4 linked regions of the Tamandua tetradactyla genome follow. The protein of the gene in region 3 interacts with the protein of the main gene of each other region in a biochemical or structural test. Links are inferred from orthologs where the notes say so. Each region holds a gene or a part of one and is shown on either strand. Other genes may lie near its edges. The genes, in order: GRK2, RIC8A, GNAQ and RGS4.

Region 1 (7,061 bases), on a different chromosome or scaffold from region 3:
TATATTATTGATTCATAACACTGTACTTGCAACCAACAGCACTCTACCTTACACCTCGACAAAGTTTCTCTTACACACGTGCCTTCTCTGTAAGGTACATCGGAGTCTTCGTGTATTTAGGAACACTAGACAGCACTTCAGCGCTACGCTGGGGGGGCCATTTTAAACAGCAAAATCACCAACAAAAGAGCAACCCCCCAAAATGCGCAAAAAACATGGCACTAAATATATCATGAAAAACACACTTGTTTAGCAGCATGAGAACTGAAATGACAAGTCCAAGAGTCAAGGTGTTCAACCTCAGCTGGAAATTTTCGTCTGCTCTGGACGTGTCTGTGAATGACCGCCAAAGCGCTGCCAATATCAATTCGGGGGAACAGAGTCATTTTCGCCAGTTGGTGAATTTGCAACTACAGAATCCGTGAATAATGGATAAGACTGTATATGATTAGGGGCCTTCTTTCCCATCAGACTGGGCCAACGCTGAGTCCGATTTCCCCCTGCAGCCCTCGCGTTGTGCCAGGAGCCATGCTGGGTATGAGGGACACAGCCGTGACGGCAGGGACGCCAAGGAAACCTTTCAGCCAATGAGACAGCAGAGTGAGCAGGAGCCCACCTCGCCAGAAAGTGAGAGGTGATGGGGACTTGGACTGGGCTTTAGCAGGGCGCTGTCAAAGGATTCAGGGTACATTTTGGAGACAGTCACAGCAGGTAGCTGACAGGTCAGTCTGGACTACAGCGTATGCGTGTGGGGGTGGGGTGGGGAAGGGGACAGAAATATACTGAGGACGACTCCTGGGTTTTTGGAAGATGAAAGAGCCATGACTGAGATGGGGGTGCGGGAGAGAAGCAGGGTGGGCAGGGGGTTGGTTGGCGGTGGCGAGAGCTCAGTGTGGGATGTTTCACTTGCAGCACCTGTTAGTCACCCAGGGTGGGTGCCAAGTAATAAAGCGTCTATGCGTCTGCCACCCAGGCAGAGATGGAGGGTGGTCCATGGCTCTTGGCACTGCCAGCCTCCCAGCCACAGCCTGGCCCCGTCTGGGAACCGGATGAGGGTTTGTTGCAAGAAGGAATGCCTGGAGTCTGACACCCAGGCAAGTCTACCTGCCGACCTACCCAGAACCACCAGAGGGCAGCACTGCCCCCCAAACCAGGCTCCGGTCCCCACCTCTACCCGGGCCGGGCAGTCACACCAACTTCTCCCACTTTTCTGGGTCCCGGGAATCAATGAGGCTAGGGGTATGGGCTGGGCCAAGGGCGGGAGGGGTTGTCAGGGTTTTATGAGGTGGCGGGGGGTGGGGAGAGGGCAGGACCAGCTCCCGGGGCAGGATGGCTGGCAAACTCAGAACCCACAGGCAGAACCTGTTCTGACAAGTTTATCAAGCAGAATCTCTCAAATAGGGGCTGCCCAGAAAACCCAAGGAGTCAGGGGGTGGGGGAGAGTTAGGGGCCCCCTGCTGTGCACCTTGGCCCGGGTGCTGCCTCCGTCTCCATGTGTCACCTCGGGCTAGGGAGTTCACGCACTTGGTCACTCATTCTTTCATCCAATATTGACTGATGGCCTTTCTGTTATGGGTGCCAAACTAGGCCTAGGGGGGAAGAGATGAACCCCGAGCGTTGATTACAGTGAGATTTACCTTTATATTTTCATGCTTGAGCATTTCCTATGTCAGGATGTGTTCTCCAGTGATGCGAACGTTCCATAAAGCCCCACCCCTCACTGTCAGTGGTGCACCTTACAACTGATGATGTTTTCAAATCAAGGAAATAGGGTGGTGAGTGCAGAATCAGGGATGGACACAGTTGGGGTTAGGGCATCATGGAAGGCTGCGTGGAGGAGGTGGGTCTTGAAGGACAAGCAGGAGTTATAACGTCAGGAAAGAAGGCACAAAGAAGGGCTTCCAGGCATAGGGCGTGCAGGTGAAAACTGATTAGCAGTCTGCTTGGGGTAACCTTAGGTGCAGAGGATGGTGGCAAAACGAGCAGTAGTGGGACATGAGGGCAGGGCCCAGCCATCCAAGACTCAACTCAACCTGATCTGCTTTTGGGCTTAAGTGGGTCCCCCACTCCCAGCAGCTCCCAAAGTCCTAGAGAGCTGCATCTTCATGCTTAATAAGTGGTGACCCAGGAGCTCTAGATTTGGGACTGGCAATTGTGGTTAGGCCCTGCATCAGGGCAGCAACCCCCAAGGAGTGGACTGGTGGTCCGAGAGGATTTTCAGGAGGCCAGCCCAGGATGGCGTGGTGATAAATTAGAGTAGGGAAAGGTGAGAGAAGAGGGAGGGGTTGGGATGATACCTGCAGTTCTGACTTGGGTGTGTATCTGCAGGGACGGCGGTGCCACCCAGTGAGAAGGGGAGCTCACCTCCCTGACACACTCAGTTCTAGGCTCTGCCAGGACTGGTCTGCGCTCCCTAGCCAGAGGGGCTTACTCCTTCTCCAAGAAGCCCATGAGGGTGGGATCCTTGCTTTGCAAGTGCATCCTTCCTGGTGGCTGGCCCACCAACTGCCATGGGGATCGAACCTGCTGCCAAAGGAAGTGGGGAGGAGATCCAGAGTGGGGTATGTTGAGATTCTGTGTGTGTGTGTGTGTGTGCGCATTGCCTAGAGACACACAGATTTAAGCCACCTGCTTGGGTGGGCTCTCAGCAGGGTGGGCTTCCTCTGCCAGGTAGTACTGAGACCCCTGTGCCCTCCCAGGCTGGGGGGGGGAGATCTGATCCCACGTTGTGGAATCATCGCGAATGGGATGGGATGCAGGGAGGGAAGCTGACCCAAGTGTGCAGGTCAGGGGCCTGGGTCTGGGGTGGGCTGGGGCTGGTTTGTGTGCAGGGTCCGTGGTCCTGAGTGGGAGTCCTGCAGCCAGGTCTGGAGAAAGAGGGGTGGGGAGTGGAGTCTGGGGCAGTTGTCAGGTCCAGGTGCTGGGACCTGGTGACCCTATAAGGGTTCTTCATCCAGTCTTGGTCCAGGGTGGGGTGCCCTGGCCTTGGGCTATATGTCCAGCATCCTGGGTGGCAGGTCCAGGACTCAAGTCCAGGTCTGGGCCCTGACCCCGAGTGTGGGGATCAGGGTCAAGGGAGCGCTCTGGGTCTGGGGATGTGACCAGCGTCTGAAGTCAAGGTCCAAAGTCTGGATCTGGGGTCCTGTTGGCGCGCTGGGGTCACGATTGTGTCCAGATCTGGGGTCCGTGTCGTGGTCCTGGTGTGGAGTCAGGGTCCCGGGTTGTGATCTGGGTCAAGGTCTCATGATCAAGCTCTGGATCTGGGGTCCTGTTGGCGTTCTGGGGTCAGATCGTGGACGGGGATCGGAAGTGGGAGTCTGGGGTCTTGATCGGAACAGCTCTGGCCTCAGGACTGAGGTTTGACCGTGGAGTCCCGGGGTCCGGCGTTGGGATCCGAGTTGAATTTAGGGTCCTCTTCGGATCCCGAACCTCTTCGGTTCCAGGTCGGGGCTCGAGGGTGGAGATCCGCGGGCAACCGGCGGGCGGCCGCTGGGATCCGGGATCGTGCCCCCAAGTCTGGGTCGGGGTCCCGGCTCCGCGGGCAGGGCCGGGCGGCCCGCGCGGCCTCCAGGGGGCGTCCCCGGCCGCCCGCGCCGCCCGCCCGCCCGGCTCGGCCCCTCGCGGGCTCGCTGGCGCTGCGCGCGGCAGGCGGGGCCGGAGGCGGCGGCGGCGGCGGCGGCGGCTCCGGGGCGCGGGCGGGCGGCGGCGCCCGGACTGCAGTCCCGGCGGGAGCGGACGGGAGCCGGGCCCGGGCCCGAGCTGGCGCCATGGGGCGGCGCCGCCTGTGAGCGGCGGCCGAGCGGAGCCGCGGGCGGCGGGCGGCGGGCGGGGCCGGGCGGGCGGGCGGGCGGCGGCGGCGCCCGAGGCCGAGCGGAGCGGCGGCCGGGCCGGGCCGAGCGCGCCGAGCGAGCGGGAGCGGGAGCGGCGGGAGGAGCAGCCGCCGCCGCCGCCAAGATGGCGGACCTGGAGGCGGTGCTGGCCGACGTGAGCTACCTGATGGCCATGGAGAAGAGCAAGGCCACGCCGGCCGCGCGCGCCAGCAAGAAGATCCTGCTGCCCGAGCCCAGGTGAGCCCGCCGGGCCCCGGCCCCGCAGCCCCGGCCCCCCCCAGCGCCGACCCCCCTGACCCCCCGCGGCCCCAGCGCCCCGGCTCCGGGCCCAGCACCTCACACGCGCCCCGGGTCGACCCCCAGGTCCCCGGAGCCCGGGACCCCAGGCCCTGTGCGCCTGAGCCCCGAGCGCCTCAACTCCAGGGCCCACCCCCCCCCCCCACTGCCCCACTCTGCCGGTCCCTCGGTCTGTCAGCCCTTCGCTCCTGCCCTCTGCCCCCACCCACCCCCAGAGCCCCATCACTCTCCCCCTTGTCCTCCTCGGAGCATCCCATGGTCCCCGTGGGGTCCCCTCCCCTCTGCGGGCCACCATTTACCTGGCCTGTTGATAGCCCCCATCCTTTGGCTGTCCCTACTCCCAGCTCCCTTCCACGCCTTGCAGGGGAGCTGGGTGCTCTCCCCCCCACCCCCCCACACCCCAGTCTCTACTTGAGTGAAGTTGGAGGGAGACAGCCAGCCTCAGGGCAGCTTCTCAGGACCCTTCCTTGCTCCTGCTGCGGGATCACTGTCTTGGGGCTGGGTTTGGTGTGGTGGGCTGGGGGCACCGTGGGGCACGCGCCCTGCCCAGGTGGGTCGTTTACCAGGGGCCAGCCCCGCACCTCTGCCGCACCTGGGCCACAGATGCCACCCCTCTGTGAGACAGCTCGTGTCATCGTGCCTGGTATCAAAGTTTAAGGCTGTTCAGGATGTAGGCGCCGAAGCGTACAGGATGCAGAGGGTAGCTGTGGCTGCCCCGGTGCTTGGTGGCTTACGGACCATTTCCCCGTTGCTGGAGCCCCACAGCAGTCCCCCGGGGTGGGTAGGACACCTGTCCGGTGCCACACACGTTACCCAGTGTGCAATCGGGGTCCCCCCATCAGGGCCCCTGGCGTCTTGTTATAGGTTCTGCCACCAGGCTGGCCTCAGCCAGGGCCTGGATGTTCTGCTCCTGCAAGAGCTGTGTGCCCCCCAACCAGTCCTCGTGTCACGGGGTGAGGCCGGTCCCCTCTATATATCTCCCTCTGTGCAGAGGTGGCCTCTGTGGCCCCAGCCGGACTCTGGGCCCACCCCTGGCTGCCCCGGCCTCATCGTGTGATTTTAGGGAAGTCCCTTCCTGACTTTGGGCTTCAGTTTTCTCATCTGCAAAATGTGGAAGGTGTGAAGTGAAGGCTGTGGCTCTGCAGTGTCCTGAGGCTTCGAGGCACCTAGCTCAGCCTCTGCTAGTGTACCTCCCCAGGGGGGGTTTCAGATTGACTGAATACCAAGCCTGGGAGAGGAAAATTTGTCTGCATTTTGGGCCACCCACCCCCCCTTTTTTTTTTTTTGCTAAGACGTTTGCAATCAGATTTCTCAAAACAGGAACCAGAACTGACTGTCAGCTAGGGCCTGTCCAGGGAGAAGAGACAGTTAGAACAAAAATGAGTTCAGAAATGACGAAGCCATGAGGGAGGAAGTGGGGGGCTCAGGGTGTGCTCAGCCTCTAGGGCTCACATCGTCTCTTCTTGGTGGTAGTAGCCTGAGACCCTCCTGCAGGTTGGAGTTCTGAGAAGTATGGGGTGGGGCCTTTTCTGGAACTCTCTGCGTTTGGGTAATCTCTCCCCAGAGTGCACTGCTCCTGGCGGGGCCCCGCCTTGGGTCGGCGGTGCAGGTGTTAGAACCCTGAGAAACGAGACGTTCCTCTTTTCCTGTCTCCTTTGTCGCCCGTGGTAGTGATGGTGCTGATAGGAATGATGGTGGAACTTATCCTAGCTTATTATTTATTTTGACACCTGTCATCTCAGTTGATCCAAAAAGCAAAGCTGTGAAGTTGGCCAGACCATGCCAGGCATGGAGTAGTTGCTCAAGAAACATCAGAAGACCACGCTATCTCCTCCTGAGTGGGAATAAGGTGGGCTGTGTTAGGGCACAGGCAGGAGTCTGAGAGCAAGGTGGCATGGCCCGAGTATAGGGTCACCGTCTGGCAGCATGGTTTGGGCAAACCACCTGTATCTGTGACTGGGGCTCCAGGCTCCAGTGCTGAATGCCAGCGTCCTAAAGCCCAGGGAAGGGCTCTGCCTTGCACTGGTATACCTGGCAGCACAACGGGTGGTATTTTCCCCCCACTGAAAACTTGGAGAAACTGAGGCTTAAAGAGGGGAGGCTCAGAGCTTTGAACTCCCAGGCCAGTGCTCTTTCCCTGCTATGCCTCATCCTCTCTGCCCACCTCCAGCTGCCTCTGCGCACAGTTTAGTGGAATGTGCTGGCTGGCACCCATTGTCCGGACAGCCATGGGTCTGGGTCACTGGCCTGGAAGCAGCGGGACAGTTCCCAGTGCCGTCAGCTGTCACAGCTCACAGGCCCCAGCCCCCTCTCTATCGGCTGGGGCTGCAAACAGAGCTGCCCTGGGAAAGCTAGTGCTTGGAGGAGGTAGCTCGAGCCCAGAACTCCCATCCGACCCAGGGGCCTGTCTAACCCCACGCTCACAAGGTCAGAGTCAGGGGAGAGACCACGGTTTGTCCCAATGACAAGCTGCCATTTGGCACCACCTCGGGGTGGCTCATCCTGGCACCCTCCTTGTGGCTGGTCCCTGACTCTCTGACTGCTGAGGGCCAGGGGACAGGAGCTGTTGGGCACGGTGCCACTTTGAGTTGGCATGGAGACCTCCTCTTCTATCACCCTTTAGAACTCAAGGATTCAGACCCATTTCTCGTTGTGTCGCTGGAAGACAGGGGTCCTGGCTTCTAAACCACCTTCAATGCCAGTTCACAAGGGGCTCGGGGAAGCTCGCTTATCCTCTCTGGGCCTCCCTTGGTTTCTACCTTTGTGAAATGGGGGGCTGCCTGTGCACAGTGATACCCCTTTCAGCCCCAGGGTCCCTAGTTCTGGGCCTCCCTGTGCGCCATCTGCTCTCTCCCCAGCGGCCGATGGGAGCGGACCTATAATTACCATCTTTCACTTAATGTGACCACTGAGGCCTCCCGTAATTACTCTCTT
Region 2 (8,002 bases), on a different chromosome or scaffold from region 3:
GTCCAGGAACAGCCTGGGGTGGGGGGGATGCAGAGCAGGGTTTGGACACGCTGTCCCCAGTGCCTGTGCCATCTAGGTGGCAGTGGACAGGTTCCCTGTGGTGCAAGCAGAGAGGCCAAAGCCCCAACACACAAGGACACTTGGAAACAAGAAAAAGCATCTGCAGAGCCTGTGGAGGAGGGAGGGGAGCTGGGAGTGACACATACCACAGCACACAATTTGGGAAAGCCTGAGATACGGAGATTAGTCCACACATGAGGACTCACTAGGTGAGGCAGAGTCAGAACAGAGTGCTCAGAAGTAAAAAGGTGGAATGACGCCTCTCCAGGACACTCAAAGTCCTAACCCTGAAGGAAAGGAAAGATGAGAGACAGCGTTAGGTGAGTGCTTGAACAGAGGAAAGGGGGGGCAAGGGGAAAGAGGCAGGAGGGAAGGGAGAGGAAGGGGGGGAGGGAGAGGAAGGAGAGAAAGGGGTGAAGATTATTAGAAGGATGGGGCCTGGGAAGTGAGTTCGCAGGGCTGAAGGCTGCATCGAGGCTGTGGGAGCTGACTGCAGCAGGCTATGGCAGACAGCCGGTTTAGGTTTCAGAGACAAAGCCTTCTAAGCTGGACAAACTCAGAAAGAGGCCTTGCAAGTGGGTGAACTGTGAGTCAGGGCCTCACAGAGTGGCCAGGAAGGCAGAAGATGAATCAGATAGGACAGGGGAGGGTCCCAAGCTCAATGGCTTGGTCTTAAAGGCATTGGGTCTGACCTGTCCAGGGTTGGTGTGATGGTGGAGAGAGTACGCAGTGGGAAATGAGGGCCCAGGGAGGGCGGTGGCTCAGAGATACATGCACTCAGGAGGAAGGGTCCCTCACAGTGGGAGGAAGGGCAGGGTTTGGTGGAAGAATAAGTTAACCACACATGGCTGGCAACCCCTACAGGTGACAGAGGCAGCAGTGTCCTGTGAAAAGCAGGTGGAAGGCCTCACCCATACTCAGCCACTCCTGGAGGTCTGGTCTCGTGGAACCCATCTGCAAGGCTGGGTAAATGCACACCCTGAGTGTGAATTCCTGCTCTGAACAAGCCCAGAAGCGCTTAGGGCTCAGAGCCTCTGTATCCACAGGCCCCAGGGTTTGGCTCCAGCTGCCCTCTGTCTACCCCAAGGAGGGAAATGAGCGTGAGCACAGAGGGTACTGGGGGAGGAGCTGGCCTGCATTGGTGTGACCTTGCCCAGGCAGCCTTGGCCAAGAGCAGCTGCTGTTGGAGAGGGTGGGCCAAAGAGATAGCGCTGTTTCAGGTTTGAAGGTAGAGTCACTTTTCATGCCAGCCTCATGCTGCACAAATCACACACATGGCCTTGCTCAGAGGAAACGGTAGAGGAACCTTGAGACGCCTGAGGGCTGGGAGAGGGGCTGCCAGCACAGTGCTATGTGTCTTCAGGCTCCAACCAGGGACTGGAGGACGCTGGGCCTCCTTTCCCCAGGGAAAGTGTCCCTTCCGTGGATGGGACCAGCCAACAGATGCTCATGTCCAGAACAGGAAGAAGACCTCTGACCCACAATCGTAAATTCAAAGGAATGTTGTAGGGAAGTGCTCCGGAGCCCAGGAGCCCAGGTGGGGCACAGGGTGGCCCTGGCTGGCCCCAGCACCCGCAGTGGCAGCTCGCCCACCCCCGCTCGCTCACGTCCGCGCCCTGGACAACAGGTAGGAGAGGATGAAGAAGGCCACAATCAGGGCCACAGCCACACTGCACAGAAGCTTCCGGTTGTCTCGCCCAGACCGTGCCATTGTGGAGAAGCGCTTCACACTCCCAGTGAGCAGACCCGTCATGCTCATGAAATCTGAGTCCTGAGGGAGGAATCCCAGTACTGTTACACGCGCTGGCACCTCCACACCCACCTCTGCTGGTGCCCAAGAACAGTGCCCGACCCCAGATGGTGTGGGCCCAAGCTCAGCAGGGCACCCTAGAGCTTCAAAGGCTCTTACCATGCCATCCAGGTACCGGTTCTGGTCTTCTGCATCCCTATCAATGTCCAGGGCAAGCTGGCCAGGGCACAGAGAGGGCAGGTTCAGGCCAGGCCAGACATGGGGCAGCACCCTTCCTCCCCCAGGACCAGCCAGAACAAACGCCACCCTCACCAAACACGAAGGTCAGAAAATGCCCCCCAGGCCTCAAGTAGCCAGCAAGGAGAATGGAAAGCAGCCTGGAGCCCCCCAAGCTGCACCCTCCTGGGGGTCCTGCTCCCAAGAGAAAGGAGACCGCCACAGACCGATTTGAGCCTGGTGACCTTGGAGGCCAGGTTGTCGGCCATCCGCTTGTTGTCCCGGTCCAGAATCTCCTCCACGACACCGGGGCTCTGAGCTGTAGAGACAGGCTGAAGTTGTGCATCCACCCATGAGCACAATCCCTGACCCTCAGACCACAGAAAGTTGGCCCTTTGTGGCCTCAACCCCATCTGCCTCAGTCTGAAGTCTGGGCAGGGGTGGGGGCTGGGTCTCCACCTGTAACCCGCTGGGCAGGGACAGGTTTGTGGCCCTTGTGTTTGTGCAACAGTAAACAACCACGTGGGAGCATGTCCCCTGTACACATGCAGGATGTGTGGCTTGCCCTCTGGGGTGTACCCCAACAGGTTCAGCCCATCCGGCACGCCAAGCCAGACAGGACTAATCCCAGGGAGGCAGTGAGACGCAGTACCTGCCTGCAGCAAGGTTACCATGCATGTACCTCCCGCCTGTCCTGGGGAGGGCCCAGGGAAGAGCACTAGCTCAAGGAGGACAGCCGCGAGGGCTGTGTGGGCGTAACCTGTGACCTGGTCCTGAAAAAGTAACCGATAACCAAGGGCAGGACATCGGGGAGGCCCTTCTATACGGAGAAAAGGAAGCGAGCAAAGTTCCCTAACCAAAATGTGGGCAGGGTCCAGCCCCGAGGGCAGGGCCTAGGTTTGCTCACCTATGTCCCCACAGCACCTCCCAGAACAACGAGGGCACGGTGCGAGACCCGCCCGGTAACTCCGGCCAACCCCATTCCCCGCTGCACACCCGAACTGGACCAGTGGCGTGAATGTATCACATTCGGTGGGTGAGACTCGCCCTCCACGGGGCCGATACCCTGAGAGTCCGAGGCCTTAGGAATCTCTGACTCGTACAGACCCGGAAGGAAGGGGCGGCTGCGGAAAGGCGCCCCGTTGTGCCAGGCATTGTGCCACGCACCCCGCCAACGCCTTCGCGTCCGTTCCCTCCTTCAGTCGTCACGACAGCCCAGGAGAGCGGGAGCGGCACCCGGCCGGACCCTCCCAGGCCTCCGGCGGCGAGGGGGGACGCAGCCACGTATCCTCGGCGGGGCGCTGACTGGGGGCTGTCCCCTCCCGCCGACGGGCGCCCGGGGTCGGATCCAACCCCGGCCCGTCCCGTCCCCCGGACCCCCGGCCCACCCCGCGCTCACCCCGAGCCCAGTCCGCCATCGCGTCCAGCGCCGCCGAGGACGTGGCGCGGGGTCGCGGGGTCACGGCGTCGCAGGGTCACGGGGAGGGACTTCCGGCCCCGCCCCTTCTGCCGCCGCGGGCGCGGAGGGACTGAGGAGTCCGACGTTTGTTTCATTGTCAGTGGACCCGGGACGACCTGGACCCCGCACTTGGGAGCCCTTGCGCCATTCGCTTTAACGTCGAAATGTCTTTTCTCTCGGTTATTCAGGCGAGGTTAGGTCCTAAGAAGTGGGAGGAGCGCCAGCGCCTTTGCCGGGGCGCGGTGTTGGCGCACGAGTTCGCCGCCCCACTCGGCCTCGAGTGACCTGGGGAATTTAACCTTCGTGCATTTTAGTTCCCGAGTCTGTAAGGCGGTTTCCTCGTTTGAACTTAGACCATTGCCTGGAACAAGTAAACCTGAATAAGTGCTTTAAAAATAAAATGCAGATAAGTAACAGTGAACCAAGGAAAAGGGTTTGGGGAAGGGGCAGCGGAGACAGTAGGAACCAGTGTTTCCTGCTTTTGAATCCTGGTACCAAGGGCCTGGCATGACAGATGTGTGATAAAAGAACAGAGAGGTGGGTGAGTAGTTTGTATTTATGAATTACTCACCGCTACGAGGTATCTTCTGTGTGTCAGTTACGAGTGCCTGTAATCCTCAGTGCAACCCCTTGAAGTGGACACTTTCCCCTCTGCTTTACAGAAGAGGACACGAACTCTGAGCTAGAGCGCGTTTCAGGGTTTCACAGCTCGGAAGTCGCTGCACTTACTCCGGCCCTGCGTTCACCCCCGACCTCTGCCAACCGAGCCGTTCCTTCTGCCTGGAGTGGCCTCCCCCAAGTCTTTTCACGGTCCCCTATCGTGAGCATCAGGTCTCATCAGAAGTAGCACTTCCCTAGAGCCTTCTGCCGACCCCCCGCAATTGGGGACAACAGCAGCCTGTTGTTTTTAAAACCACAACGCTTAGGACCACGCAGAGTCGTCTTGTCTGTCTTTCCTTGTCCGTCTTCCCCTCTGGAACCAGCTCCAGGACGGCAGGGTCTTCCTGACCCGCGTCCCCAGCGCCTCGCCTGCAGCAGGCGCTCCACGACGCCGGTTTAGTAAACCAAAGGCTCTGAGACCGCAAAGCCCTCTCCGCTGGCGCTTTCCTCCTCCATCCCACTCATTCTGTGGATAAAGATGGGGGGATCGGGAGAGTTCTCCTTTTGAAATTCCGGCCCAAGAAGCGCACGAGGGAGGGGTCACGGTTTGGCCAAGGGGTGACTTGGGCCCCAAGCCGGCGGGTCCCGGAGTCGGGGCTTCAACGCCAGCGCCGTTCCGGGTCCACCTTAAACCGCGCACCTTAAGCGGCGCGCGGCCTCGCCCCGCCCCCCGCGCGTGCCGGCCCCGCCCCGCCCCGTCCCGGCCTCCCCCGCGCGCCGGACGCGGGCTGCCCGAGGCAGGGCGGGGCCGCGCGCGGGCTGGACTCGGGCTGGACTTGGGCCCCGCCGCGGCGCGACGTCCCCCCTGGCTCGCGGCCGGAGCCTTCGGGCGTCCTGGGGGCGCCATGGAGCCCCGGGCGGTTGCCGACGCCGTGGAGACGGGGGAGGAGGACGTGATCGTGCAGGCTCTGCGGACCTACAACCGGGAGGTGAGCGCAGGCGGCGGACGTGGGACGTGCATGGGGCGGCGAGGGGCGCGGGACGGTGCCCGGGGTGCACGCGGCGGGGACAGGTGCGCGGCGGGGCGCGTGCAGGCCCCGCCTGGGTCAGGCAGCCCCCCCAGTGCGCGGCCCCGCCCTGTCCGGGGTCTGCGCTCCGAGAACCCTCCCGGTGTCTTTGCAGAACTCCCAGAGCTTCACGTTCGACGAGGCTCAGCTGGACGACAGGAAGGTGGGTGGCAGCGGTAAAGGGCAGGGGCCGGGGGTCCTAGGAGGCGCCGTGGGGAGGGTGTTGGGGCTCCGGGCAGCCGCCCTTTCATCTGCTCACAGAAACTGGCGGAGCTGCTCGTCTCGGCCCTGGAGCAGGGCTTGCCGCCCTCCCACCGCGTCACCTGGCTGCAGAGTGTCCGCATCTTGTCCCGGGACCGCAGCTGCCTGGACCGGTTCACCAGCCGCCAGAGCCTGCAGGCCCTGGCCCGCCATGCCGGCATCTCAGCCCCCGAGGGCTCCGCCCTCAAGGCCCCGGGTGCGGATATGGACGTCGTGCTGGAGTCCCTCAAGTGCCTGTGCAACCTTGTGCTCAGCAGCCCCTTGGCGCAGCAGCTGGCAGCCGAGGCCGGCGTGGTGGTGAGGCTCGCCGAGCGCGTGCGGCTCTCCCGGGAGAGGAGCGTCCCACATGATGTCCAGTTCTTTGACCTGCGGCTCCTCTTCCTGCTCACGGCTCTGCGCACCGACGTGCGCCAGCAGCTGTTTGAGGAGCTACAGGGGGTGCGCCTGCTGACTGACACGCTGGAGCTGACCCTCGGGGCAGACCCCGAAGACTGCGCCCCTGAGTGCCTCCCGCACCAGGAGACTGAGCGGGCCATGGAGGTCCTCAAGGTGCTTTTCAACATCACCTTTGACACCACCAAGAGGGAGGCAGACCAGGTGAGGCCCGAATCCTAGGCCCCGCGACATGCCAGGAACCTAAACGGATCTGGCGTCAGGCATAGAGAGGTTAGGGGAGGCCAAGGAGGGGCTCCCTCCCAGGAGAGAGGCATCTGAGGGAGATAGCTGTTCCTGGGTCTGGAGGTCCAGGTGCCACAGGGTGTGTGGTGTGATGGCAGGCTGAAGGAAACAGCCACTGCAGAACCGTGGGTGTGGACATCTGCAGCCACAGAGTCTTCAGGAAAATGGCACTGGTCGGTCAGCCTCACCACCCAGCAGGGTCGTTTAGGAGAGTACAAAGGCAGCTGTGTGGCAGTCAGAGCCACTGGTTCTCTGGACCTGCAGCCTTGTGTTGGAGGAGGGGCAGGGTGGTAGAGCATGCCTTCAGCTGGCAGCAGCCGCCTTCAGGGATCTGCTCTTCTCTCTGGTCAGGACACTGCCCTTTACCGACACCTGGGCACCCTTCTGCGGCGCTGTGTGATGGTGGCTGCTGCTGGAGACCGGACTGAGGAGTTCCAGGGGTGAGGGCAAGGCTCTGGGCTGGGAGCTGTGTGTGGGGTGGGGGGAGCTCTGTACTTGGCCATGTCTGGCTGGGAGGGGGCCTGTTGTGGGATTGGGGTGCTTCTCAGTCTTGGGTATAAATAAGAACCACCTGGGAGCCCCATTTCCCTTCTTGGAGTCTGAGTTCGCTCCTCTGATGGGACTAGCAAAGTTATTCATAACACCCAAGACCAAAAGCTGTCAGTCTGGCAGAAGGGCATGCCAGCCTGGACCTTGGTGTCAGCAGATCAAGATTGTCACTTGCCGCCATTCTCCATGACCTACTTCCCAGAGAATGTCCATGGCGTGAGGCAGCCAGCCCAGACAGAGGGGTGGGACAGGCAGGGCTTCTCCTGCTTAGCAGGAACAGGGGACCTGGCTGGTGCTGCCCTCTGGCCCCCTGACACTGGCTCACATCGCATGTGGCCCAGCAGGGCAGGCACCTGCCCACCCTCACCTGCACCCCGGTCTGCAGCCACACAGTCAATCTCCTGGGGAATCTGCCTCTCAAGTGTCTGGACGTCCTGCTCCCCCCGGGGCTGCACGAGGGCTCCCTCGAGTTCATGGGAGTGAACATGGATGTGGTTCGTGTGCTCCTGGGCTTCCTGGAGAAGCGCCTGGACCAGGTGGGTAGGCGACCGCGGGACCCTGGCCTTTCTGTGCCGCGGCTCCGTCGTGGTCCTCCCCGCAAAGCTTGCACACCCTTCCTCTTGAAGCCTTCTGTTCTGATGACTGCAAGGATGCAGATGGCAAAACAGCCTGTTTTCAGAGTCTCACGAGTACTCGTACTTGTGCTTTAGACCTTTGGGGCGATACCTTGGGAGCTCCTGGGAAGGCCCCAGTCCCTGCTTGAGTTCCTCAGACTTGTAGATTCGCTGTGTACAGGCAGCTAACCCATCCATGGCTCCTACTTACAAACATCAGTGTCCTTGGCTGCCGTCTCCCACCTCTCCCCAGTATCCCTGGAACCACAGGAATCTCTGGGCAGGCCTGACAGGTCGAGTCCCTGCTGCAGATGAGGATGGGCACATCCTCATCCCACCCCCTGCATGGCACATGGCACTGGAACAGGTGCCCTTTGTCCTTGCTGCTACGGCTGCTGGTTTGTGGCCAGAGAAGTGACTGGAGGTACTGGGAGGAAAGGGAGTTTTGCTGTCTGTCAACAAAGCCCATAGCTCTGAGGCACCCCTGGCCAAGGGGCGAGTGGAAAAGCTCTTCCTCGGTCTGAAACATCTCAGGAACTGCCTTCTTCCTGTTTTCTATTTATAAATAAAGCATTTAAATGACTGTTTGAAATCAACTAAGACATTACTTTAAAAAAATGAGAAAAATCAGGAACATAGATGTTTTCATAAAAGATTAAAAATCCACATGAAGGGCAATGCAGATCCTTTGGGCAGCAGAGTAGTTAGTGTCTGGCCGAGAGGTGCATCCGCGTGTCCCTGGGGATCA
Region 3 (7,739 bases):
CAGATATCATCTAGGTAGGTAATCGTGAGTTTCCTTTTCTAATTTCTCAATATTATTAATTTACAAAAATAAACTAATTATGTAAATAAATGCATTTCTATCCATGCCAAACAAATTCATTAAAATGGCATCATGCTTTGAAATAAAATTTACTTTAAAAAGTTTTATGCTGAAATTTCCATACATGGGTAATTCCTTAATTTAAATAAATTAGGTTTAAAATATTAGTAAATTTTTAAACTGTGAAAGGCCATAACCTTCTCCTAATAAGTACTATTTAAATGAATGAAGGAGTCAGAACACAAAGTTCACTCATCATCACCAGACATCAGGAGTAAAAGGAAGCCCTCCCTGCACCTCTCCTTGTTCCAGAAATCAACCATCATTTCCCTGCAAGGCCCAGAAAATCAGGAATTCACACACCCATACACATGAACAAATCTACATTTAGTGATAGTATGACTATATATATAGTGTAAGTATTGCAGCAGTTGTCACCAAAGCAACATATTTAGAACATGAAGCTGTAGCAATTCTTACATGATGTCTTCGAATCACGTTTCTGATAGCAAGCTGTATAATTTTTAAATCTAACTAATGCAAGTGGGCTCTAAATTAATATATTTTTCTACCACTTCTAACAGGCCATATTTGAGGAAAGCAGGAGACTGTATGAAACCCTTCTCAAATATCTAATAGGAAAAAAAAGTTATCCATACTACCACCACCATAGCAGTAAACCTGTTTTTCTTTAATTCTTATTCCTTGGCAAATTATCTCCAAGTTAATTTTTAAAGCACAGTTGGTTATTTAAATAAACAGTATGTAACTGACCATCCATATGTGTTCATTTCCCCTGAAGTCTTCCTTCTAGCCATTCAAACCTAGACCCTTTGACAAAACCCCCAGGTCTCTAACCCTCAGCTGCTGCAAAACCCAAGGCTGCCACATTTCAGGCAACAGGGCTGCCTTGAAAGACCTCAAACACCCCATTTACAGCCAAACAAAAGCAAATAAAACTGTAAACAGACAAAATACAAAGAAAAACAATTCTTTAAACAAATCACACTAAAACACTTTTTTTCCCTTAATGATGCACTTAAGCACTATAAAGTCCTCTTGCTCCCTCTATTTTCTCCTCATCTTGGGAATTCAGACCATTTTCAGCCATTAGAAGTAACCCAAATGAGAGGATCAAAAAAAGAAGAAAAAAAATCTACATCTTCCACCCCGGCTTCATTGCCTTAAGCCTACCTCTTTCAACCAGTGCTTTGCCTTCTGTTTTTAATACACACGTACTCATTTATCTAATTGGGTTTCAAATGAAGACAAAAAGCCATGGCACGTGAATTAACCATTGATAATTATATGTGATCATTATACTTTGTTCCTTCTTGCAAATGATCCAGGACATAAGCAGTTCTGTCCCAAAGGCAATTGTTTCCTTTAACCAGGAGATACAGCTCAAGATAAGAAAGAAAATGCCTGCTTCTCAAACCCTCACTGACGATACAATTTTCTTTTCTTACAGAAAATATTTGAGAAACGTATGTATTATACACACAAGTATGCAGAACACAAGTGGAAGCATTTCTCAGGCCTGTAACTGCAAAGCTGTTTGCTCTTCCTTCCACAATACCTCAGAAGTATGACAGGGTGGCTTGTATGTGAACCCTGATGACTTGATTCTGAACATTCTCTCAGAGATAATAATCAATAGAATTCCTCTTTGAGAAATGGCATTTTCTCGCTAACTTAATGTTAAAGCAGAATGGTCAGTTCTTTTTTCAAAGATTAAAGAGAAATTTTTGCCCTATGCTTCCCATTTTCCCTTCCAACCCAGATTTCAAAGATATTAAAATTGCTGTCCGTTTTCAACAAACAAAAGGTTGTTCTTTGCTTCCATGAGAATAACTGGGAGGCTGCACTGGTTTTCAGCAGTAACTATTGTGAATTCAGGCCTACATTTGGGTTTGCCTTATTAAACAAAAGATATCCATCGCTGTCAACAACCACACAGTACAACGCTCCCTTATCCTTCATCTTTATCCGGAAGGAATGGTGCAGACAAGAAAGGCGCTTGTCACCATCTGATGGCCAAGAAACTCTTCTGGGGTCTCCCCATTCTGTGGCCTGGTGGCTAGAGAACAATTCAACCTTTGGGCTTGCCCCACCCCCCACCCGACCCCTAGCCAATACATCAGCCCTCTTTCTTTAGCTGGCCCACTGCTGGGCTCCCTCAACATCACTCCTTGGAGAATCCAGTCGCGCGTCTGCCCACCACTCCACCATTCAGTTCTGACCCCGGCATACGCTGGTAATAGAAACACAGACCATCCCACCGCACTCCATCTCTCAGAGTGTCCTGAATCCGCTCGCCACCCTCGGGGTCTCACACATGCAGCTCCTCACTTCACCACCCAAGGAGAACCAAGGCCACGACACTGGAAGTTCAATCCCTCTGCCCACCTTCCCACCCCCGCGCTCCGCCGGGAAGTGATTTTCCACTAAACAAATGCACAGCAGTCAAACCCGCACCCCGAATGCACAGCCCTCGGGGATACGAAAAGGCACACGCCGAGACACCGGGCAGGGCAGCCCTGACCCATGCCCGTGCGTGCGTGTGTGTGTGTGTGCATGTGCGCGTGTGTGGTGTGTGTGTGTGTGTGTGTGTGTGTGTCTGTGGGCACGCGCACGCGCACCCGCTCAGGGTGCGGGTGCGGGTTTTGGCCGGGGGCGCGCCGCGGGCGCCCAGGGGCGGGGGCCGAAGAAAGCAGCTGCCCCGACAGGCCGGGGGCGGCGGACCCGGGGCGCGAGGCCCCAGGTGGAGAGCACCGGGCGGTTGACCCCGAGCCGTACTCACCGAGCAGCAACAGCTTGAGCTCCCGGCGGGCGTCCCGCTTGTCCCTGCGGAGCTGCCGCTCGATCTCGTCGTTGATCCGCCGGGCTTCCTTGGCCTCCTCGCTCAGGCAGCACGCCATGATGGACTCCAGAGTCATTCTTCCAAAGTGCCTCCGCTGCAGCCCCGCCGGCACCCCCTGCTCACACGCACGCACACACACCCTCCCGCCCTCGCCCCCCCGAGACAGCGGTGGCCGCCGAGCCCCCGCCGCCCGGGCGCGCGTCCGGGACGAGCTCGGGGAGCCTCCGCGGAAGCCGCGGCCAGGGCCGGGGCCACCAGGTGGGCCGGGGGCGCGGCGGGAGCTGGCAGCCCGGATCGGCCGCCTCGGCCGCGGGAGGAGCGAGGCGGGCGCGGGAGGCGGTCGCAGGCACTGGCTCGGGGGGCGCGCGAGGGAAGGCCGCCGCGCCCGGCCTCGCTCAGACGCCCGCGCCTCCTTCCCCGGGAACCGGCAACCCGCCTCGCCCCCCGAGCAGCCGAAGGTCCTCTAAGCCCTGCACCCGGCGGCTAGAGCTCATCCACCGGGGCGTCCCCGCAGCGAGCGGCCGCCGACGGCTCCCTTCGCCCAGCACGCCCGCTCCTCGCCGCCGCCTGACACGGCTCCCGGGCGCCCTCGGCCCTGCCCGCGCCCACCGCCCGGCTCGCGCGCAAACACCGCTCGCCGGCCCGCCCGACCGCCGCGCACTCCGCCTCCGCCAGACGCCCAGCCCCGGCCCCGATTGCCAGGCGCGGAGCGGCTGCTCAGTGCTCGCCCTCCCCCTCGCCACACACACACATTTTCTTCTTTCTCTGAACTGGAGCACAGATCCGGGAGGGAGGCGGCAGTAGGAGGAGGCGGAGGGGGAGGGAGTGAGGGAGGGAGGGAATGGACGCGGGAGGAGGGGAGTCGGGAGGCGGTGCCGCCCGGCCCCTCTTGGAAGGCTTTCCTGGGCTCGCTGCCGCCGCGACGCGCCTCCCAGTGCGGCTCTCGCCTCGCCCGCGCCGCTCCCCGCGCCGGGCCGGCCCCCTCGGGCTCTGCGGTCGCCTTCCGCTCCCGCGCCCTCGGCGGGGCCCGCGGGCGCAGCGGTTCCGGCCGCCCAGAGCGGAGGTTGGGGCGGGGACCCGGTCGCCCGCGCTCGCCGACGCGCCGCCCCAACGGGTATCCGCTGCTGCGGCTCGGGCGGCCGCCGACCTGCAGCTGCCCGGCTGGCCGCCCGGGCGTGGTAAAGCGGGAATATGGCTGCCTCTGGCTGCCTTTCGGCCCACCAGCCTGGGTACGCGGCCTCAGCCCCTCCTGGAAGTGGCAGGATTTAGACCCGCGAACTCACTGAACAGGCTGGCGCCGCGGACACCCTGCCTGGCTACCCCGCGGGCGGCGGAGGCGCTCGCGCCCACGGCTCTCAGGCAGCGTCTTTCTGCTCGGCGGAGCAGCTCTTCAACCACATATGCATTCTTTCCCGTTCCTAAACGTTCTAAAACGCCATTCGGTTAGAAAATATCTCGCGTCACCTCTGACCCGAGTTCAGTCTTAGAAAATAAGATACTCTTGATTGTGGGGTGGAGAAGAGAAGGAATTGTCACTGGCTCCCAGAGGGGTTAAGGAGATCATTAATAGGCGAAACCGTCCACAAAGTCACTGCAGATACAAATCTAAATCCAGAGCCGAGAAAATGAAGCTGCCCAAGAGTTTCCTGATGGCCTCCAACTTTTCATGCAATTGAGGTTGTTTCTGGCTTTTATATTTTACAAGTTCTCCTTTTGTTTTGAAAAGGCTCAGGATGTGTAACAGCCAAGTAATCAAACTTACTTTATTCCCCTAGACAGAGGTTCTATTGCGCGTGCATTCTATGCACATTGAATAAATGAAAAGGAAAGAATAAAATAGAAAATGGGGAAACAAACACCGACCCAGCAAAATCCCATTCTAGGTTATTTTTTTCCCACTTTTGATTAAGGCACTTGAAAATGTCGTTTGCATCTTTCGTTGTGATACACTACCGATAAATGGCAGCAAGAACAAAATCTCCTTGCTGAAGCGTTTAGTTCTAGTGGCTACAAGAGATGACACCTATATTACTTCCAGCTGTGATGGAACCTGACATCTTGAGAGTAAACTACATCTTAGGAAGGGAATGTCTTTTTCAAATTTCATATTTTCTCTGAGATGTTTCTGGTGGAACTTGCTCATCCAGAGTGTAAAGTTTTGACTGTGCTAGTGCCGCAAGTCAAGAATGCACATAGGGTTTTTGGATGATAGGTATGTGATTTCCTTCCTTCATTTGCTACAGCCCATCCCTTGTCCCCTTCTCTCTCTTTCTCAGCGAGGACTCAGATCAAACAAGTCATAAAGATATAAGATCTGATATTGTAGGTTCCCTTCATAAAAAGATATTCAGCCTAGAAAATGATTAATGTTCACCATGGCCAGGAGAGCAGAGAAGACAAACCTCACACCTTTTATGTGAAAGCTTACAACTTGATATGAAATTAACATTTTAAATTAGGTGACTAATGAAATTAAAGATTAAAATTTAACATGCAAAAGTTTAGAATACCTCTGGGGGAAACTTAACTATGAGTTTGCATCCTCTAAAATATGTATATACACAAGTTTCAGAGAGACAGAAAAACAAATGACAGGAGGCCTCAATTCTCTGGTTTCCTACCCATGGATCCATGTGAGGCTTTTGAAAATGTCTCTCAAACTGTGCTATCAAGCTATCAGGCAATCCATTTAGACTGAATTGATCTATTTGATTAAAAGAATTAAACTTGTAACAGATTGTAGAATCAAAGTCTGTTTTGTCACCCCTATATCCCCACTCCCTGGCACCCAATAAATATTGGAATGGATACAAAAAATCAATAAAAACATATTTTTTCATATGTTGGGAAGAAATCAGGAAATAAGGTATACAATACTCTGTAGGGATGGAGCCATATATGGATGGCAAGAAGAAAGTAAGACAAGAAAATTCTATGTACTAACCCAGACCTACCCAGAAACCTTTATATGTATATATGGGAAGCATTCATCAAGCAAGCATTGATAAGACCTACATCAAACAAACAAAATTCATGCAGGAACTACTCAAGTTGTTGATCGTGTTCTAGACATTTAAAAATATGCAACTAACCAAGTACCTTAGTTTCCCAGCTGCTACGACAAATACCACACAATGAATTGGCTTAAAAACAGGACTTTATTGGTTCTCAGTTTCAGTTGGTAGCATTCTGGCTGGCAGGCAATCGTGAGTCCCTTGGTTTTCCTATCACATGTTGATGTCCTCTCCTCTCCCTTCCCAGTTCTGTTGACTGACTTCCAGCTTCCAGCTCCTATGTTTGAATTTCTTCAGTCTATAGAGTATTCCGGTAATCCAGTTTAAGACCCAGCCTCATTCAGTTGAGCCACACCTTAACCAAAAAGAACATCTTCAAGATGTTCTATTCATTGTGGATGCACACCCACAGGAAGGCGGATTAAGACCAAGCACATGTCTAAATCCGGGTACACAGGGCAGTGCAACAGTGGCTCAGTGGCAGAATTCTTGCCTGCCATGTCAGAGACCCGGGTTTGATTCCAGGAGCCTGCCATGCTAAAAAAAAAAGAAAAAAAATGTAATCAAATTAATCCGGGGTACGTAACTCAAGCTACCACACCATATTACAAAATTACAAAATATTGCAAAATTCCAGGTTGCTGAGTCAACAAACTAACTCAGTGCCGACTATTTAGAAATAACCAAGGTGAAGGTGCAGGAAGAGAGACTATGATGAATAAAATGCTGCTCTGGCCCTCTAGAGGCTTATGGTCTCAAGGTATAATGAGACTCTGAATTACTACAATAAAATCAATTTGTATTAAGGTAGGGGTAGAAGTAACAATACAAATGTATAAAAAAAGAAAAAACATTCATTCTGTGTAGAACTCAAGATAACTACAGGAAATGTGGCATTTGAGAATAAACAGGGTTTCAATAAATATATATCTACACCCCCATAACAACCAATCAGCAACTCACCCCAAACAGACAGTGAGATAATAAACCATTTTAAGAATGCAAGGGCAAGTACTAGATGGCTGAAAAGCAAAGTACAAAAACCCTGGGAGCATTGAAATTCAGAGGCAACTCTACAAAAATGTGAAGACTGTCACGTCTTCTGTGGTATCCTGAGACAGATACCTAGCCCACAATTTCTTTTGGGTACTGGGGGGGGGAAACAACGGTAAAAACGTCGTTTGATATCTCAAGGAGTGTTCCTGGAAGCAAAAAGGGAAAAGCCCTTTCTTGTAAAAGGAAGGAAAAGCCGATAGAATAATCCATGACTCTCTGACAATGTATGGCATGTCCCACAACACTGTAATGTAATTGCATCTCTCCCCCAGAAGATTAGGTGCTGCCTGAGAGCAGAGCCCTTGTCTGTCGTAACTGTTTTCAGGGCACCTAAAAAATTGCCTAGCCTAAAACTGACACTCAGTAAATGCTGAATAAATAAGAGAGTGCCATCAACTATATTAACGACAAACACGCTTGCAAATGGCCAGGTGCCTGAGGCATCCACAGCCCTTAAAGGCTTAATAGTCTATTTGGGCAGTCACATGTATAAAAGGATCAACAAAACATGAGCAACAGCCGCTGCTACCCCACAGTACAGAGAAAGGATTGCTAGAAGAGTCCAGAAGGACCATTCAAAGCCACCATTCAAAGCAACTCGAAGGAGTATGAGTGGGCACCCAATGATCACCCCAAAGACCAATTAGAATTCTGCCTGAAGCATTGCAGATCTTACAAGAGCTGAGAAAGAGCTGTTCTGTGCAAAGCTTTCTGGCACAAGGAATAAAGTGGCCTTGCTTGAGAAG
Region 4 (7,214 bases), on a different chromosome or scaffold from region 3:
AAAAGAACATTACAAGTGTTGGAGAGGTTGCACAGAAATAGGAACACTCATTCATTGACAGTGGCATTGTAAAACAGTATACTTACTGGGAAGACCATTGGGCAGTTCCTCAGAAAGTTAAGTAGAGAATCACCAGATGACCCAGTAGTCCCATTTCTAGGTATATATCAAAAAGAATTGAAAGGAGGGATTTGAAAACTTTCACACCAATTTCATAGTAGCATTATTCACAACTGCTAGAAGATGGAAGCAACCCAAGTGTCCATCAATGGATTAATGGATAAACGAAATGTGGTATATGCACAAAATGGAATACTGTTCAGCTGTAAAGAGAAATGAAGCTGTGATTCATGCTCCAACATAGATGAACCTTGAAGACATCATGAAATAAGGCAGACACAACAGGGAAAATATTGTATGATCTCACCGATACGGAATAATTAGAATAAGCAAACTTTATAGAGTCAGAATGTAGAATACAAGTTACCAGGTATGCTAGTTTCCAAGCTGTTGGAATGTGATATACCAGAACTGGAATGGCTTTTAAAAAAGGAATTTGGTAAGTTACAAATTTATAGTTCTAAGCCTATGAAAATGTCCAAACTAAGGCATCCAGGGAAAGAAACCTTAATTCAAGAAAGACTGATGTATATGGAACACCACTGTCAGCTGGGTAGTCACGTGGCTGGCATCTGCCAGTCTCTTGTTCCTGGGCTCCATTGCTTTCAGTCTCTGTTCCTGGTAGGGGGAAGGGTTCCTCACTTTGCTTCTCCAGGGCTGACTTTCATCTCTTGGTTTCCCTTGGCTCCCTCTAGGTTCTGGTTTGCCTAACATCTCCTGGTGATGTCTGCTGGTCTCCAAGCATCGCCAAACATCCATGTCTCTGTTCTCCAAGTGCTGGCATCTGATTCAGCTCTCTTTTTCTGTCAACTTTGTCATTTTTGTTGACTCTGTCATTTCTGTGGGCTCTTTCTCTTTTGGCTCAGGCTACTGTCATTTCTGGTTCTCTCCAAACTGTGTCCTCTTTTAAAGAATTCCAGTACACTAATCAAGATCCACCTGGAGTGGATGGAGTCACATCTCCATCTAATCAGTGGTCATTTGGGTATATCATGCCTCCATGGAGATAATCTAATCAAAAGAGTCTAGCCTACAGTATTGAATCATGATTCAAAGAAGTGATGACCTCTAAAAGATTGAATCAGGGTTGAAACATGGCTTTTCTAGAGTACATAATACTTTCAAACCAGGGCACCAGGGAGAGGTTGGGAAGTTAGGGCTTAAAATGTACAGGGTTCCTATTTAGAATAATGAGAATGTTTTGGTAATGGATGGTGGCGATGGTAGCAGAACGACGTGAATATAATCAACAGCACTGAAAACCGTATCTGAATATAGTTAAAAGGGGAAATGTTAGGTTGTATATATAAATATTTATAAAATAAATTTTTTTAAAAAATCCATGGAACTATACTATACAAACAGTCCTAAATTAAGCCATCGTTAATAATACAATTATAAACATTGCTTTCATCAATTGTAACAAAATGTTTCACACTAATGCAGGGTGTTAATAATAAGGTGATGCATGGCAAGCCGGTACTTTGCAAATGATTTCTCTATAAATTCACAAATTCTCTCATAAAGAAAATAATAAAGTGAATGAATATGGAAAGTCCAAACAAAAAGTGATGTCTAGTGGAAAACCAGAGTGGTAAGATCTGCAGTGACTTCTGCTTCTGTTGAACAAGAGAAAACTTGGTAGATGGATACAAAATTAATATTAGGGTTTTTATTTGTTGTGTATAATCTATTAATAAAAATTTGCATAGAATTTTATTGTTTAGGAATCCTCAGATTACAGAGTATATCTCCTTTTTTGATCAGACTCTTGGGTGATAGGATAGAAAAGTCTACATAACCTACTGTCAAGAAAACTGGGGTTATTGCATCCCATTGGACCAGCAGCAGGATTTTCCCCTAAAGAAGAAATTAGGAAAGACCCAACCAGGACTTCTCCAAACCTCCCTCCAGTTGAGATTCCAGAGAAAGAGATACTAAAAACACCAAATCATCAGTCCAAAAGCATTTATTAGGGGAACTTTCATACAGAGAGCTGCAGCTACCACACAACGGACAGTGAGACAGTCAAATGCTCACTGGAGTATATCCATGCTTATGGACACAGTTCTATAGATTATATATAGTTGAGGAACAAAGGTAGCTAAATGCCAGGGACTAATGTGCAAATATTGGGAGAATGTGCTCTTTTCTCAAAACAAGATGTGTTTAAGGTAGTTTGAACTCAATGTTATAGCAGCCAAAGCTTGGTATGCTTCCAGGGTGTTACAGGAAGGGATGTCTGAGGCAGAGGGAAAGAGGGAGGTCAAGCCTTGGTCAGGTAGGAGATGCTATATCTGTCATACAGGGGTTCAGTTTAACTCTGTAAGTGGGAGGCTTGGCTTTGGCAAATGACTTCCCATCTCTGAGCCTCTATTTCTTCTTTGGCAAACCAAACATATTAAATTAGATCATCTTGAAAGCCCCATTCAACTCATCTAGAGTTGTTCATGACAAATCAGGCCTCTGTTTGGTTTAGATCCAAGATATAAAATTCTTAACTGTGGGGCAGTGCAACAGGTGGCTCAGTGGCAGAATTCTCGCTTGCCATGCCAGAGACCTGAGTTGGATTCCCAGAGCCTGCCCATGCCAAAAATAAAGAAAGAAAGAAAGAAAAATTCTTATTGTGGCATTTGAAGCATCATTAAAACTTTTGAAGGGTCCTTCTCCGTGTTCCTAAAATCACATTATTTGAATAATCATTCTTTCAGGTGCATGTTTAACCAAAGAAAATCTTTGGATGACCTCCTCTCCTTTTTAATTAGTCTTTCTGCTTTGGTGCCAATTTTAACTGACTCGTCTCCCAGGGTCAACCTTCCTTGGCCTGTTGACTTCTATCATTTCACGTTACACATGCAGTCCCTTACACAACACTATCAAAGACAGCTGTCAGCTTCATCAAGAAATTTCATTTATCGTACGATCAATAATCAACTTGCTTTTAAAATGTAAGCCGTCCTAATCAGGCATAGCAATTAATTTCCTCCTTCTAATCATAGCTTTGCCTAGAACAAGAAGTTCTGGCATGGGTGTTTCAGCTAAGACTATATAATGTGAAACACTTTTATGATTCCTTGAAGCATTTAGTCCATCATTGTATGTGGAGCGTACTAATCATCCAGTTACTCAGAAGCACTGTAGGATCAGATATTTGTATATTCATCTGAAGCCTGGTGATATACAAGACAAACTCCATATTTTGATGCTTCCTCTCTCTCCTCTGTCTTTCTATTAGAAATATTATTTTGGAGACCTAGAATCACGTAAGACATAACCCCATTTTCAAAAAAAAAATGGGTGTTTTTATTTAACCATGGTACTCTTCCTGTGGTTCTTATGCTGTTTTTTATTTCCCCTAGCTTTTTCTAGGAGGCATCATGTTTAGGAGAGATGGTCAGTTTTAGCCTGAATTCTGTTTTCAGTAAGATTTCAAGAAAAGTATTCCATAGTCAGGCTGATTACAAATGCAATTAATTCGTTTTCCCCAGACTAGTTATTTTCTGTGCTGCCAGGTAACCCTGCCAAGCAGCTACTCCCCATCCATATCCCTGTTTGCATGTGACAACTAAGAATGCAACTTCTGCAAATCACTGCCTGGAGACAGATGATCCTGCCAGTTCCTTTTTGGGATTACTGAAGATCAGATCTTGGATCATGCATGATGTGAGATTTCTAATCCAAAAGAGGAAGTGTATTGGGAGTCTGCTCCAAATAAATCCCACAGACTCCCGCTGGCACCTTCCTTCCTGGGGTCAGCTTTCCTTTGACATTGTTTTTACAGGCAAGTGAATAAACTCCGTGTTTTGCAGCATCGTGCCTCTTTTTCTTCTCCTTTTCTAAAAATTCAAAACCTCAGACATTGGCTGATACACTGGGTAAATTGTTGTCTTCTGTGCATCTACTTTGCGAGAGGATTTTCTGCGCTTTATTCATTTTGCTTTGTTGATGAGACAGCCCTTCCTTATCTCTCTCAGAGGCTGGAGGAGGCAGAGGGAGAGACAGAGAGAAATCGGTATTACACAGCTGCTATCCGATTGGCTGGAAACCGGGAGCTGGGCTATAAAAGAGACCCCTACAGGCTTGGGAGGGAGAAGCTCCGAAGATTCTGACAGCATCCTTACGGGAGAAAAGGCAAAGAGCACTCCAAACAGAAGTCACAGCTCCTCCTGCTGCGTTTCTTTTCTAGTCTTGTGAATCCCACGCTAAGCAAGATGTGCAAAGGACTTGCAGGTCTGCCAGCTTCCTGCTTGAAGAGGTAAGATGATTTTCAGCCACTGTGTTAAACTTTTGGATAGGTCTTCTCAGATTTTACATATCCTGCTCAGTGACCTGGTTCTTTGAGATTAGAAAGAATGTGGTCAGTAGAGCATCAACTTTCTACCTTCCTCCGAGTACTAGCTAGATATTGTGACTGAGAGGCACTCTCCCCAAAGTCCAGTACCTAGACGTTTTAAATGACATGTTTTGATTTTTATGCCAGTTCCTCTAGCCAAGTTAGCTCTAATTAAAAGGTGATATGAGGCTTTTGAACTACATAAAGTGGTCTGTAATATCTCTTCCTGAGACTATAGTTGCTATCTGGGCATTACTGGTGTATATACTATTGCAGCTCTGGACTTTCTGATATTGTTTCTGATTTTGTGTTGGGGAAGCTATCCCAGTATGAGGTTGGACTATATCCACAGAAGGGCATGATGCTTTCTGTACGATGCTGCAGTATCTTGTACTCTCTATGTTCCTATAAGTAAATGTTACAATAAAAAATGAGCTTTAAAACTAGACAACTTTATCTCCCTGCCTCCACCTCTAGCTCTTGAAATATCTTATGTGAATGGTGGCTGGGAGGAAGTATTGGTCCTAATAAAGCAATTTCAACTTAAAGAGAGTGTTTTATAAATGGACCATCTTGTGATTCAAAATTTAAAGATATGCAGCTACTCATCTGTCCATAGCTTTACTCTTAAAGGTTTGAATAAATGCATTCAGAAAATTCTCAAATATAAGCTAATAGGGAAAAAATGAGTACACATTACATTATTTAATCTTGCAATTAAAGGTGGAAAGTCAATTTCAAGGTATATCATTCCCTCCCCTGACCCTCTGCAATTAGAGGTCACCTTGAATTTCAAACAGGAAATAATCCCAGATAACCCAGTCTTTTGTGTGTTATTAAGTTTACCTTTCAAAAATTTTTACCTGTCACTCAGCGGTGTTAAAATATTTATTGTTTCTTTAAAATGAAGTGTGAGGTATTGACAGAGCGTACCTATGCATAAGTGCCTCTGACCTCCACCATTAATTTGAACGGAATAGAGCAAATTATTTCATGCTTCAGTTAACTCATAAATAAGATTAACCATTACAGAATACAGAATTTCACTCTGGTAAATATTTTGAAAGACAGATGAAAGATTGCACTAGAGAACTCTGCCCTCAAGATGCTAAGAAGCTAACCGGGCAAGGTGAACTTTATATCAGCAGGGTGAGCTAGGTACCACTTTCCTCGCTGGTGAAATGTAAACTGTCTGATCCAACACCTTCTTTCTAGCTTTAGTACCTGAGACTCCAGAGGGGACCTGAACTGCTCAAGGTCACATAGGTGGTGGGTGGCAGAGTGAGGACAACATCCAGGTTTCCTTATTCACGTGACCTCTGAGGTCATGTTGGTTTTTATCTTTATGGTTGTAGGTGGTATAGGGACAAGTAATTTACTTGCTAAGCATACTCCCAGCTCATCATGAAATGACCCCAATAAATGTTTGTTCGCGACAGAGTTAGCCACCTGGAAATGTGGACTGAATCACAAGATACTTATATTATCCAGTTGACCTTCATGATTTTATTATTTGTACAATTGTATCATATGTATGTATGTATAATATATATATACATATACACACATATGACTATACATAAATATATACATACATATACACACATATATGACTATGCATATATATGTATATACATATATATATACACACGCACATATACACATGCATGATTTAATGATCTTGCCAGTTAAGGAAGCAGAAGAGTGGAAGCAGTGTTGTGAGGGAGAGAAAATGCTATTTAAGGAACAATCCACGAACATAATGAAATTCAAAACTTTCTGGGAAAAACTCACATAGATAAACCACTAGTCTATCAGTAGCCATCCTAAATGTCTTTTCATCCTTGTGGCTTTACATTTCTCCCTCCGAGTAAGAGCATAGTGTCATTCATTTCTTTTAAAATGACATTTCACTTTTAATACTAATTTTTTAGCTTTTAGAACAAAAAAAGATACAAGCAAAAGAATAATTAATGCAGAGTGAGAATTTTCAACTGAAAGCTTCTTAAAAGGTCCTTCCTTTAGCCTAAGTAAGGAGCCTTGCTGTACCATAGGTATCTATTAAACATTGGCAATAGGCTAGAATCTCTGCAGCAATTAGCAGTTACCAGCTTCAGCAATGATACTTGTTTACTTTTCATGCCCTTTGTAGTATAAATATGCTTTGTAATGCAGATATTAAAAAGGAAAGCAGCAGCAGCAGTAGATTCTCCAGGGGCAAATCTGAAGAAGCTCAGGTTTTTACCATTTGAGACTGCAAGCTACCCTTTGCATTTATCGCCCCATGTTCCACTTCCCTCTGCCAGTATATAAATCCCTGCATATCCATAACACCAAATGCTTCGCCTACCACATGCATGGCTGTAACAGAACAGACAGCACCTTTCTGAGGAGCTCCTATATCCCTCACTTCCCGCAGTGAGGCAGATGGAAATAGCAACCACCCACCAGAAGGGGGCATGCAGCAAGAAGTGCCGCATTTTGCAGTAACCGATTGCTTCACAATTCCTATGAATTACCTAACGAACATCTGTGTTGCTTTTGAAGATCCCAAAGAGTTCCAACAGTCAAATGTGACAGGTCCATATAAGAGGTTCTTGAGATAGGATGAAGGGTCAGAATTCTAGTTACTAATGAAGAAGCCTGTATTAGGAGTCTGGCCTAAAGTGCCTTTTAAAAAGAGCTAGTTATCATTATTCGTTCTCTTTTTTCCTCTTCTGTGCAGTGCAAAAGATATGAAACATCGTCTAGGTTTCCTGTT

Evidence for each region.
Region 1: the proteins of GNAQ (region 3) and GRK2 form a complex in vitro, tested with the Homo sapiens proteins (3 studies listed by BioGRID). The link is inferred for Tamandua tetradactyla from reciprocal best matches to the Homo sapiens genes GNAQ and GRK2.
Region 2: the proteins of GNAQ (region 3) and RIC8A form a complex in vitro, tested with the Homo sapiens proteins (2 studies listed by BioGRID). The link is inferred for Tamandua tetradactyla from reciprocal best matches to the Homo sapiens genes GNAQ and RIC8A.
Region 4: the proteins of GNAQ (region 3) and RGS4 form a complex in vitro, tested with the Homo sapiens proteins (3 studies listed by BioGRID). The link is inferred for Tamandua tetradactyla from reciprocal best matches to the Homo sapiens genes GNAQ and RGS4.

Annotation. Positions count from the first base shown.
Region 1 is NC_135335.1:7,144,796-7,151,856, reverse strand, and holds the start of GRK2 (beta-adrenergic receptor kinase 1), read left to right. Parts: upstream 1-3,922; 5' UTR 3,923-3,954; coding exon 3,955-4,067; intron 4,068-4,700; exon of another isoform or gene 4,701-5,080; intron 5,081-7,061. UniProt on the Homo sapiens protein: Specifically phosphorylates the agonist-occupied form of the beta-adrenergic and closely related receptors, probably inducing a desensitization of them. Key regulator of LPAR1 signaling.
Region 2 is NC_135335.1:32,943-40,944, forward strand, and holds the start of RIC8A (chaperone Ric-8A), read left to right. Parts: upstream 1-4,891; 5' UTR 4,892-4,990; coding exon 4,991-5,074; intron 5,075-5,267; coding exon 5,268-5,315; intron 5,316-5,413; coding exon 5,414-6,010; intron 6,011-6,442; coding exon 6,443-6,531; intron 6,532-7,025; coding exon 7,026-7,176; intron 7,177-8,002. Other genes in the region: BET1L (BET1-like protein), read right to left, coding at 1,664-1,831, 1,970-2,026, 2,254-2,345, 3,426-3,444.
Region 3 is NC_135328.1:108,702,270-108,710,008, forward strand, and holds the start of GNAQ (guanine nucleotide-binding protein G(q) subunit alpha), read right to left. Parts: upstream 3,079-7,739; 5' UTR 3,000-3,078; coding exon 2,864-2,999; intron 1-2,863.
Region 4 is NC_135330.1:16,333,597-16,340,810, forward strand, and holds the start of RGS4 (regulator of G-protein signaling 4), read left to right. Parts: upstream 1-4,196; 5' UTR 4,197-4,331; coding exon 4,332-4,375; intron 4,376-7,178; coding exon 7,179-7,214. UniProt on the Homo sapiens protein: Inhibits signal transduction by increasing the GTPase activity of G protein alpha subunits thereby driving them into their inactive GDP-bound form. Activity on G(z)-alpha is inhibited by phosphorylation of the G-protein.